3 linked regions of the Ovis aries genome follow. The protein of the gene in region 2 interacts with the protein of the main gene of each other region in a pairwise test. Links are inferred from orthologs where the notes say so. Each region holds a gene or a part of one and is shown on either strand. Other genes may lie near its edges.

The links.
Region 1: the proteins of GPSM3 (region 2) and GNAI3 interact in binary tests that used the Homo sapiens proteins (3 or more experiments, as listed by UniProt). The two-hybrid records come from large-scale screens. The link is inferred for Ovis aries from reciprocal best matches to the Homo sapiens genes GPSM3 and GNAI3.
Region 3: the proteins of GPSM3 (region 2) and GNAI1 interact in binary tests that used the Homo sapiens proteins (3 or more experiments, as listed by UniProt). The two-hybrid records come from large-scale screens. The link is inferred for Ovis aries from reciprocal best matches to the Homo sapiens genes GPSM3 and GNAI1.

The regions. Positions count from the first base shown.
Region 1 is NC_056054.1:86,823,412-86,827,127, forward strand, and holds part of GNAI3 (guanine nucleotide-binding protein G(i) subunit alpha-3), read left to right. Parts: intron 1-391; coding exon 392-545; intron 546-3,716. UniProt on the Homo sapiens protein: Heterotrimeric guanine nucleotide-binding proteins (G proteins) function as transducers downstream of G protein-coupled receptors (GPCRs) in numerous signaling cascades.
Region 2 is NC_056073.1:26,270,993-26,275,050, forward strand, and holds GPSM3 (G-protein-signaling modulator 3), read left to right. Parts: upstream 1-1,353; 5' UTR 1,354-1,557; coding exon 1,558-1,778; intron 1,779-1,983; coding exon 1,984-2,092; intron 2,093-2,304; coding exon of another isoform or gene 2,305-2,342; coding exon 2,343-2,504; intron 2,505-2,738; coding exon 2,739-2,876; 3' UTR 2,877-3,502; downstream 3,503-4,058. UniProt on the Homo sapiens protein: Interacts with subunit of G(i) alpha proteins and regulates the activation of G(i) alpha proteins.
Region 3 is NC_056057.1:42,546,185-42,550,454, forward strand, and holds the start of GNAI1 (guanine nucleotide-binding protein G(i) subunit alpha-1), read right to left. Parts: upstream 2,801-4,270; 5' UTR 2,496-2,800; coding exon 2,378-2,495; intron 1-2,377. UniProt on the Homo sapiens protein: Guanine nucleotide-binding proteins (G proteins) function as transducers downstream of G protein-coupled receptors (GPCRs) in numerous signaling cascades.

The sequences.
Region 1 (3,716 bases), on a different chromosome or scaffold from region 2:
GATATGACAGCACACTGAGTATATGGACAGGATTAGGTCTCTTATTAGCTAGTCCTTATTCCCACTTCCCAAGCTTCAAGAATTATAAAAATAAGGACTGACTCAGCTTTTGTATTATCAGTATCTGACTAGTTTCCATGATTGCACATCAGTGGTTTTAAGACTTCATGGTCTGAGACTTCTCTTGTGGTGCAGTGGCTAGGACGACGCCACACTCCCACCGCAGGAGGCATGGGTTCAAGCCCTGGTCGAGGAACTAAGATCCTGCATGCTGCGTAGCACAGTCAAAGGAAAGAAAAGAAATAAACCCTTTCTGGTCTGTTTTTCATTAATAGTTAATCTACTTTTACTTTTTGCTACTGACCTATATCATCCTTTGTTTATTTCTCAGAACCGAATGCATGAAAGCATGAAGCTCTTTGACAGCATTTGTAACAACAAATGGTTTACAGACACTTCAATCATTCTGTTTCTCAACAAGAAAGATCTTTTTGAGGAAAAAATAAAGAGGAGTTCATTAACTATCTGTTATCCAGAATACACAGGTAAAGGGTCATGAAAGATTTTGTTGGAGGTATACATCTTGAATCAAAACTTTCATGACCTTCCTACAGCTGTCATTTGTTTTGAATATTGTATGTATCTCCTTGTGGAGAGTGTTCATTTGTAGTGGTATCAGCATTAAGCATGTGCTTAAGACCCCTGAAGTCTAAGGTGCTATTCCAGATATAATCATATTTATGATGTTTATATTTCTGCCCTCATTTTTTGAGGTAAAGAAAGATAAAAATTTGATATAAATATATTCACAAAAAACAAGGATAAGATAGAGTTTTGCACTCAAGAAACTAACATTAGTTATAGAAAGAGAGAGAGAGACACACACACATGTAAAGAGTTTCATTTTAGTGTGAAATGTTCATTAATAGAAGAACCAAAGAAGTGGTTACCTCAGTGGGATCAGTGTAATCTTTTTCTAGAGGAAATGACACTTGGAGTGAGAGAGTAGGAGGATGAACTAGAAATCATCAGGCAGGTGGGGGAGTAAAAAACATTTTAGGAAAAGAAAATAGCATATATAAAAATCTGCAGTTAAAATTGACATTATTTGTCATAACTGCCATGACTGGTAAGGACATCAGTGGGTTCACTTGAATTTAAACCAGCTCTAGATAGGAAAAAAATCTCAGTCTCCTCATTTGCTACTCCAGTGGAGAGCACATCTCATATTTTAGAACAAATAGGGGTGCCTTGCTTAAATAAAAATAGCATTTAATGTATAATTGTGTGAAAGGTTTATGGGTAAAGCTGTATTTTTGCAGCATTGTGACAGTAGCTTCTGCTTTAATATTAAACAGCTTGTTATTTAAATACTGGATCAAAATGGTTGGCTTCAAAATGTCATCATTAATTAACTTCATGTGCAAAAAAAGAAAAAGACATGATTTGTTCTGAAACCTAGGAGGAATTTAAAATTGCTGGAGCCTAGACTGTGGGGAGGAGTGGTTAGAGAAATGGGCAGGGATGCTTGTAGAGGGCATTGTATGCCATGCTGAGACAGGGGAACTGTTGAAGGATATTCTTTGGGGTACATGATGTAGTAGGAACTGATTTTAAAAGATTACATAATAGATGCCAATAAAGATAGATAGTAGGGGAGTTGAATTAGTAAGGACTTTCAGTATACACATTGAAACTTTTGGTGAAGGTACAGAGATACAGAATTCAGGGACAAGAATGCAGATGGTCCTCGAGAATGCAGTTAGAATTAGGAAATATTGTCAGAAGTCCTGGAAGCCCTTCTTTCCCCATCTTTTTTCTCTTCTGTGTCTTCTCTATTCTTCTCTCTCTCCTTACCAACTCTCTCCTGTTTAGTGTATATGATAAAAGTTGGCCCTGTCATGGTTACTGTATCTCCTCCATTTAAAAAACCAGGCTAGATTGGGATTTGTTGGCCCAAGGTTCAGATTGATTGGCCAAGGTTAAGTAAGGCAAAAACCCTTAGCTCAGTAAGTTGAGGTTAGGGTCAACAAACGTGAGCACTAGGGCTGTATCATTATGACCTTTAGATCAGAATTAAGTGTTTCTAGGAAAGTAGACCTCTTGTTAGCTGAGCAGATGCTGTAAATGCTTTCTATAATAAGGTGAAAGGGTGTAGCTAGGGTAAGGAAATGGAAAGAGTCAGAGATACTCTTGATTGGTACTTGGTACGTTCCTAAATATAAATTCATTTAGGAATGTTAAATATGAGTTCATATTTTGGAATGTTGGTTTTGAAGTTTCTGAAACATCCTGATAGAGATATTTAATAGATAGTTATATATATGGCCTTGGAGCTTGGGGAGAGGTTAAAGGTTAGTAACAGATACTGATTTGGGATCATGTGTAAATACAACATGAAAATGGATGAGATGACCTAGGGTGATGATATAGAATGAGGAGAGAAAAGAGTAGGATGGGAGCAAATACCAGCCTCTGTTGGCAGGAGAGAAAGAAAGGTATGTATTGGATATAAAGAGAAGAATCTGGAAAGCTGAAGTGTCATAAACTAAGAGGAGAGTTTAAATAGTGCGGAGTGGTCAACAATGTCATATGCATATTTTGAAAAAATGTCTTGTGGAGCTAGCAGTTAGAAGATCATTGACTGTTAATGGAGAGCATTGTCAGTGGAATGAGAGCAGAGCCAGGACCAGTGAGTTACTGAGTGGGCAGTGAAGAAATAAAGACAAGTATAGCCTCCTCTTGAGCAGCTTAGATAACAGGGGAAGGAGAGATCTTTAAATGTTTATAGGCTTAGAGTAAGATCCTAAAGCAAAAGAGAAGTTGTTAAAAGTAGATGTAATTAATGGAGCAAAATTTGTAATCAGGTGGGAAAAGAAGGAATCAAGAGTCTAGGTAGGATGGATGGATAAATAAATTAGTATATCTGTACTATGGAATATTATTTAGGTATGTGTGTGTGTGTGCTCAGTCGCGTCTCTCTCTTTTTGACCCCATGGAGTGCAGCCTGCCAGGCTTCTATTTAGCTATAAAAAGGAACAAAGTATTGATAATGCTACAACTTTGATGAATACTATAAACTTTATACTAAATAAAAGAAGCCAAACAGAAAAGGTCACATTTGTATGATTCCTTCTATATGGTATATCCCAAATAGGCAGATCCATAGAGACAGAAAGCAAGTTGGTTGGCAGGAAATTGACACGGGGGAATGAGGAATGGTTACTTAATGGGGTATTTTTCTGGGGTGGTAGGAAAGTTTGAAACTAGAGAGAGGTGGTGGTTGTATAACATGTGACTGTACTGAATACCACTGATTGTAAACTTACTGCATGTTATGTGAGTTTCATTTCAACTTAAAAAGTTGAGATGTAGTTTTAAAGCCCTGTGACCTCTCTCTTCTTAGAGAATTTAGAATTGCAGCCTCTGTTAAGAGTGAGGAGGAAGATGAAAGTGAAAGTGAAGTCGCTCAGTCGTGTCCGACTCTTTGCGACCCCGTGAACTGGGGCCCACCAGGCTCCTCCGTCCTTGGGATTCACCAGGCAAGAATACTGGAGTGGGTTGCCATTTCCTTCTCCAGGGGAACTTCCCGACCCAGGGTTCGAACCCAGGCCTCCCGCATTGCAGGCAGACGCTTTAACCTCTGAGCCACCAGGAGGAAGATGAGAGTTGGTTAAGTTTATAAAAGGTAGCCAGATTTTAGAATGGGAGAAAAA
Region 2 (4,058 bases):
GATGTTCTTTTCTGTATATTGTTCCCAAAGGGAGCCTCTATCGCCTGAAATCCCCAATACCCGCAAACCGCTAACATATTTATTGAGCGCCTACTGTGTGCCAGGCACTGTGTAGGCGCTGAAGACAGGGCCAAGGGTTACTCCAACTGATGATTCCTTGCATTCTCCCCACCACACCCTACCCCCAAACAAACTACTGCAGGGATGAAGTGCCACCCTTCTAGCCACCGCTATCTCTAAGAACCCCAAATCTGTCACCCCATAATAAAGATGATTTGAAGTGTTACAGTCTTTTGGGGTTGGGGAATGGAAAAAATATGAAATTGACTGCATCATGTTTTCAGAATTTTGTGCCCTAGGTTCAACATGTGGATGGAAGCTTTCAGCATAGTTTTAAGAGCAAGAATAAGACTTGGGGTCCTATGTTAGTTTAAGGAATCATCTTAAGTCTCTAGTAATCCAGTGAGAAACCACACACATGCATACTCTTCATCCCTCTTGGAAGGGCATTTTGTTATAGCCACTTAGATCTGATTCCTGAGGCCTCAAGTAGAGGGAGATGGAGAGAGCATCAAACTTTAACTACCATTCAGCAATAGGGTTATGCCTCTTTCGTGGCGATGGACCTGAAACACACAGGCATGAAGCATTTTGAAAACTAATAATAATTACTATTTATTGAGCATTCACTACAGGACAAATGCTTTATCACATTTGATCCTCATATCAACAGTATAAATGGGGGGGGGACTCCTTTTTACTCTTCGAGAATCTGAGGCACAAAGATTGTATGTGCCCAAGATTGCAAGGCATTAAGTGGCAGAACCTGATCTCTTTCTTCATCATATTTCATGCTCTAAGTCACTCAGCTAGTGTGACAGTTTGCCACTAAGAGGTCCCAAATGTCTCTGTCCTGTTTCCCACTTTGGTGCCAGCCAGTCTGACCAGCATTGATCAAAGCCCAAGTCAGGTTGTGGTCCTCTCCCTTTTCCATTTCACAATGAGAGGAAAGCTTTCCCTTCGTGTCTTATATTTGGTGCATATTTTGTACCCTGAATAGACTGTAAGCACCTTTAGGGCAATGGTAACTACTCAACCCACATTTAAACACAGTGCTAGGGATATACGTATGTTTGAGGGCCTGGCATCCTTGGATCTGTCTTACCCCTGGAAACATGCCCCTCACCATCCCAGTAAGTCAGGGAAGCTGGGAAGCAGGGGGTGGGTCCTTCTTAGAGAAGGCACCTGGGGGTGGGGGGTGGGGTGGGGGGTGGGGTGGGGGGGTTGGGGGGATTCTGAAGAGTGAAACCACTTCCTTTGTAGCTAGTTCCTGTGTTGACAGATCTGAAGGGGAGGAGGGGGGTGGAGGGAACACAGCTGGGGTTTAGGGGGCTACTGAGGCTCTGGAGATGAGAAAGCCAAAAATCCTTTCCCATTCTGAACCCCCACCACTGCTGCAGCTGGAGGAGCTTTTCCCAGTCTCTCTGCTCCCCTGGGGCAAGAGAAGTCAAGCAAGCAGTTTGGGTGGGAAAAGAGAACTGGAGGAAGTTGACAGGGATGGGCGGGGCCCGTGGGGGGGCTGACCAGGAACCCAGCTTCCTGCTCAGTACCCAGGCATCCAGCCCCCGGCTCACCCCCACCCCTTTCGGCCCCTACTCCCCTCAGGAACTCAGGGTTCCGGCCCTCCTCCCAAATCCCAGCTACCCCCTCCCCCATCGGTTTCTCCCCTCCAGGGTATGGAGGCTGAGAGACCCCAGGAAGAAGAGGATGGTGAGCAGGTGAGCTCGGCACTGGGCTGGGGAGGCTGACACTGGGAGAGAGAGAGGTGAGAGGACCTGGGGCAGAGACTGAGTGACGGTGGACGCCGGGGACTTGGACGGGTTTGGGCACACTGAGGCAGGAACAGAGACACAGAGGAAGTGGGCTGCTGGCCTAGCCCTCTGCCCACCCCACCCCCACTTGACCGGAACGGATGTCTCTCAGCATCAGGGCCCCCATCAGGATGAGCATGGCTGGCCCCCCGCGAGCTCCAGCACTCGGCCTTGGAGGTCTGCCCCTCCGTCCCCTCCTCCTCCAGGGACTCGCCCTACAGGTACCCCCAGCCCCGCTCTGGGGAGCTCCCTGACCTGGTACACACTTCTTTCCTGATCCTATTACCAAGGCCCACTCCGTCAGGGGCTCTCTCCCCAACCCTCTCCAACTCCCCATCACACCCTGGTAGCCCTGACACCCCCAACACACACACACACACACCACTCCTTTTGCCAACCTCCCTGGATCTGAGCCCCCGCCTCCTCTCCCCAGCCCTGGGGCCCCGCTCGGCCTCCCTGCTCTCCCTGCAGACCGAGCTCCTTCTGGACCTGGTAGCAGAGGCCCAGTCCCGCCGCCTAGAGGAGCAGAGAGCCACCTTCCATCCCCCCAAGAACCCCCCAAGCCTAGGTCGAGCCCTGCCCCGGCCTCTTGAGGACAGAGAACAGCTCTACAGCACCATCATCAGTCACCAGGTGAGACAACCCCTGCCCCTCCCCCCAGAAGGCAAGACCCAGGCTTCTTGGTTCTGGCCCCTTTTCTCTCTTGGGTCCTACCCCTCCTTCTCCCCAGGCATCTGCCCCCTCGCCTACTCTCCCTATCCCCACATCATTGGTGTCCTTTATGCCCCTCACACCAGCCCTGCCTCCTCTCAAGGCCTGCTCCTCTTAAAACCTCACCATCAACCTCCTCTTCCTCTACTCCTCCAGTGCCAGCGGATGGAAGCCCAGCGGTCAGAGCCTCCTCTACCCCCAGGGGGGCAGGAGCTCTTGGAGTTGCTGCTGAGAGTTCAGGGTGGGGGTCGAATGGAGGAGCAAAGGTCCCGGCCCCCCACACACACCTGCTGAGACTTGAGCCCCCACCACCCCCTCTGCATTCCTGGGGCTCAAAAGCTGGGCAGCCCCACTCATGCCCTCACCCCTGCTGGGGAGGAGCACCAGAGACTGGAAGACCCAGCAGAAATCTCAATATTCATCACCCTCATCCACCTTTCCTGGGAAGTGGAGCGGGCGAAAGTCTCAAAGCCTAGGAATAGCCAAGGTAGGATGGATAATAACTCCCGCCATAACCAAGTGTGTTATGAGGCTATGAGAGGATCCCAGCCTCAGTGGGACACCTCACCCTCTCTTCTGATCTCAGGGAGTGCCTGAGAGTCTCCGTCCTGAGCTGTGGGAACAACCCCAGTAGTCAAGCTACCAGGTGGGATCTCAGGGTTCTGTCCTCCATCTCCCAAAAGAACGGCAAATCTCCCAAGGTTTTGACCTGGGAATTCCACCCTCCTTCCCAATAAGAAGAAAGGAAGAGAGGGCACGGCAAGACATAAAGACCATTCTCACATCTCCATCACCCGCACCCCCTAGCCCCAGGCCTACAGGCTGTGAAAGGACATTTAGCCCTGCCCCCCCTCCCTCCCCACTGCTGTTCTGAACTGTCTGATGTTTGGTTATATGAATAAATGTGATCCCCCTCTGGACTGAAGACTGGTGTCTGGGGTGGCCGGGTGGAGGGTAGGTAGGTGAGGCCGGAGGCTGCCCGCTCTCCCGAGTCTGGCCAGAGGCCAGCTCCCCTCCCTGGCTGGTTAATTACTGGCTCATTAAGCAGCGGCTGGAGACCTCCCTAATTATCCCCCCCAGCCCCCCTCTCCTGGTTTTAATTAAGTAGAACAGGGAGGGGAGTCATTAGGATAAGAAATATGAACTAAGCTGTCTGTGAACCCAGGCATTCCAGCGGCCAGGGTCGTCATCAGCTTGATCCCGGATTCAGAACCCGGGTGGAAGAACCCCCAGCCTCCAACACGCCCCCGCTTCAAGGCCACAGAAGTCCAGCCCCTGGGCCCTTCCCTCTTTTTCCCCACGGGCTAGTCTCCGCCCTCGTCCCCTCCTCCACTCGGTCTCAGTTCCTATGTTTCTGTGCGTCTCTCTCCGCCCCCAGCTCCTCCCTGTTCCTCCTCCCTTCTCCCCTCCTCTTCCTCCCCGGCTCCCCTCCCCCAGCCTCCCTCCCTCGCTCCCCCCTCCTCCCTCCTCCCTCCT
Region 3 (4,270 bases), on a different chromosome or scaffold from region 2:
TAATTGAGCTCTTTACACACTAAGAACTAAAAAAAAAAATCCCCCAAAGAACCAAAGGTCAACACTTCACTGCTAAAGTCAAACTAGGAAAAAGAAATATTTTTTCAAACATTCCAAGAATAAGCCAACATTCTGTTTAAAGGAACTAGAATGTTGGAACTCTGGGCAAAAGGGTAGAGGGTAGGATGGGAGTAAGACAGACGAGGAGGTCCTCTGTTTTGTAAGGCCTAATTCACTGGGCCAATAATATGATGCTATGATGGGACTTCTACAGAGAAAAGGTGTGGGAACAGCACAAGACTAAAGCTAAAAAAGAGAGCTGAAAAAAATCAGCTACCTAAAGATTTTAAGTCATTTTGAAAGCCTTCTAATGTACTTGGTATGGAGAAACAAAACTCCTTAATTTCTTCTGAAAATCGTAGCTCTGCTACACCTCCCTCAGAGTTCTCACTACAGTTCATGGTAGAGATCCAAACTCAGGTTCTACCCTACATATTCAGTATATATTTTTCAGTCTAGAAGAGCTAGTCTCAGCTGAGATTAAACTTGCCCCTAGGGCATGTTTGAGACATTAGTTGGAGGCCAAAGATTCTGCTAAGCTTCCTATAAGGCACAACACAGCTTTCACAACAAAGAGATATTCCATCCAAAATGCCAGTAGTGCTAAGTTTGAGAAATACTGATCTCTTCTGAATATAAGCAAACACCAACTCCTTGGACCCTTATCCTTGTCTATTTCTAATAGACATCTATGTAAAGCATATTACCATACCAGAGGACTCATTTTTCAAGGCTTTAAACAAACATGGTGGATAGCTGGCTCAAAATGAGCGTCACACAATACACTGAAATAATACATCAGAGCAGGAGTGCACAAACTGCTGAAGAGAACTTTTCAATCCTTTCTCCATTTTTGTCTGAAGCACATTCCATTTGAAAGAGGAGCACCTATATGTTCCCATACCAAGGTATGTCCCTTCTGTGTTCAAGATACTAAAAATATATTGCCTTCCTCAAAAGACTATTTCTTATTAATGTAAAAACTTAGGTAAACAGTATAAACTGAGAAAGATTTACTTTGGGTAGGGGGAGGTGTGGAAAAACCACCAGGTCTCTAAAATGCAAAGTTATTTCACAGTTTACTTGTAGAATGACTCAGATCATTATTACTTTTAGTCATGCCAAGTTTGCAGCTTCTAAGCCTACTAGTAATGGAGAAAAAAACCCACCATTTTTCCTGCACTCATTAAACCAATGAAACAGAAGCTTACTGAAAATAGGCTTGTGCAATAGTATTTATTTTATTATAACTGTTACAAAAACAAAAGCAGTCGCTGCAGTGCAAACAAAGATTCTGAGAAATCTTTCACCTACTTTGCTACCTATAGGTAGGGTGGTGTGGTGTGTTTGCGGGGGGTGGGGGGGCGGGGCAAACAAAAGAAAATCCTAACTCACACATCAAAAATCTTAAACTGTGAATATTTTCCAAATGTATCCCTCAATCAAAATCCTGGATTACTCTTTTCACGTTCCCTTCCTTCAAACAGCTGGAAAAGACCTCCGCAGAGCGTTTTACCACCAGAACAATACTAAGAACAAATAAAAGCCTTGCGTCGACCTGGCAAATCTCATTCATCAGAAGCCCTGGCAGCAGAGGAGAATCCTGTTGTCCCGTGTGACCCATTCACACCTTTCACATCGGTTTTACTGAAGCCAGTTACCCAACTTTGGTGGTTCTCATATCCCCACAGTTATTTTTAAAAATCCAGCATAGCCTACTTCCCCTACGCAAGGTAAATGTAATCAGTGCTCCTTTAACACTTACTGAGTCGCCATAGGAAGTTCACCAGAAAGACACAATTCAACCCTAGGGAGGCCCCACAAAAGGTGCACTGATTTCACAAAACGTGGCACTCTTGACATCCTCGAGGAAACCACAACCGCGATACGATGCCTTGTACGCAGGGTTTTAGTGCGGGGGGTGCTCTTCTTTCTTTTTCGCCAATGCCCTTTCATTTTGATAAAGCTGAGCTAACTTAAAAGAAGGGGGCTTCCTTGCGAACCGCTCCTGGGCTCCTGGTGAAATTTCACACCAGGCACGCGAGTGAAGTCTTGCCGCGCCACCGGCGAGTTCTCCGCGGCCAAGGGAGCAAAGAGAAGAAGACCGAGGAGAGGGGCCCCCGCCTCAGCTCTGCGCGGCACAAGCTCGCGCTCCGAAACCATCCTCGGACGCTACACGATGCGCCCTCCGCCGCTTTGGCACGTCCCCTCCGGGTTTCCCAACGCCAAAGAGCCCAGCACAGCCGCGCCCGGCTCTGCCGCCCGAACCCCGGGTTCCAGGCCCACCAGGCGCCCAACCCGGCCCGGCCGCCCTTACCGAGCAGCAGCAGCTTGACCTCGCGCGCCGCCTTCTCGCCATCCTCCCGGAGGTTCCGGTCGATCATCTTACTCCGCTCCACCGCTGCCTTGTCCTCGGCGCTCAGCGTACAGCCCATTGTGCCAGGAGCGAAAGCTGGCTGCCGCTCCCTCCAAGTCCGGCGCGCTGCCTCGAAACACAGGTGAATTCTTTCTTTCTGGATGCAGGCGTTCGAATTCCTCCTGACGCCGGCCACGCCACCCCTACCTCCTTCCGAAACTGAGCGAGGGCAGCGCTCTCTGCCGAAGGGCGAGCAGCACCGCGCAGCTCTTTTCTACAGTCAGGCTCTACTCCTCGCCTCCCTAGGCGCCCCCTAAGACCAGGTTCCTAGGCTCTCGGAGCAGCTGCCAGCGGCCTCCTACTGGTGGCCGCGCTGCAGCCTCTAAGAAGCCCAGCTCGCCGAGGCGTCCGCGCGCCGCCGCGTCCCCGCCCCTGCCGCCCCGCCCGCCGCCCCGCGACCACTCCCAGAGCGCGCGCCCGCGCACGAGCCCTCGGACCTCGCCCCCTCGGATGGGCGCGCGCACCCGCGCTGCCGCGGACCCTGGCGCCGCACAGCCCGCGAGGGCCGGCCACCCGCGCGCGCCCGTGGGAAGCGCCCCTGGGAAGCGGCCAAGGAGCCCCAAACCTCTCGGGGAATTCCTCTACCTGGCTTCCTCCTCGAGAGTGTGATAATTTCTTCCCATTTACTCACACCCAGGGATGTGTGCGGACCTGCCCCTTGGGGTGCGGGTGGGAGAGCTGCCAAAGTTGGAAACCGAAAAAAAACCAGTCCTGGGCGTTTGAGCATGCCCAGCTCGGGCGGGCGCGCGAGGGTTTTCAAAATGCAAACCCGTGTTAGCGGGCCTTCATGGCGGTGGGAGATAGAGCGAGCTGGTTTGGGAATGGAGCCATGGAGAAAGCCGAGCAGGTGAAGTGGGGAACAGAAAGTCCCGGGAGGACAAGAGGTCAACTTTCTTCCTTTTTTTTTTTTTCCTTCTCTCCTCCCTCCTACCATCCATTTTCACGTTCCTTTCCACAGGCAGAAAACATTTTGAAGGATTTCCTCAAACCTGAGAAAATATGAGACAAAGAATCAAAGAGTATATTTTTAAAATAAGAGCCAACACACCCACACAAACAAAACCCCTCCTCACCGTAACTGACCTCCTCTGGGGCGACATAGAAGCTTCCAAGCCAAGTTCTGCACCAATATTCATGACCATGTTAGTAAATCAGAAGCCACTGGGCATGTCATTCTTTATTGCAGGCTTTGGCTTCCTGAACCATAAAATGAGATGGAACTGATCCACACTAGCCTCCATCCTTCCAGCTTTACCTGGTCTGGGAGAAATCACTTCTGTGGGCGTTGGAGGCATCTCACCCAGCGTGTCATCAATGAGCATAGGCTTAAGATCTGGTCTCTGTCAGTTGCACTTTTCCTTACAGATATCACAGGAAATGTTGGTTGATTATAAGACTGGGTTGGTAGCAAAGAAAAACGTCTTCTTTGATGTGTTATATTAGGTAATTGCTCTAACAGAAACCAAAGAGCAACCATTTATAAGTCTTATTTTCTAAAAATAAAAATAAAAACTTTGTTTAAAAAACTGGGCTTGAGTTTTCCAAGAAGGTAAGGCTGAGCTGATGCTACAGGAAGGATAGCCTTAGAGTGGGTCTCCTAAGGAAGGCCTGGGGCCTGGGAGAGATTGCCAGTTTCCTCCTAATTGGACATGCCCTTTCCTGTTCTGCAGTAGTCAAACATGCTGGGCTCAAGAACTGCCATTTCAAGAACTGCCTCAGGTTTTCCTAAGGTCTTTTGCAAGATAACAGCAAAAAGGAGCAAGCTTTGAATTATAATGAATCACCTTTACCCTC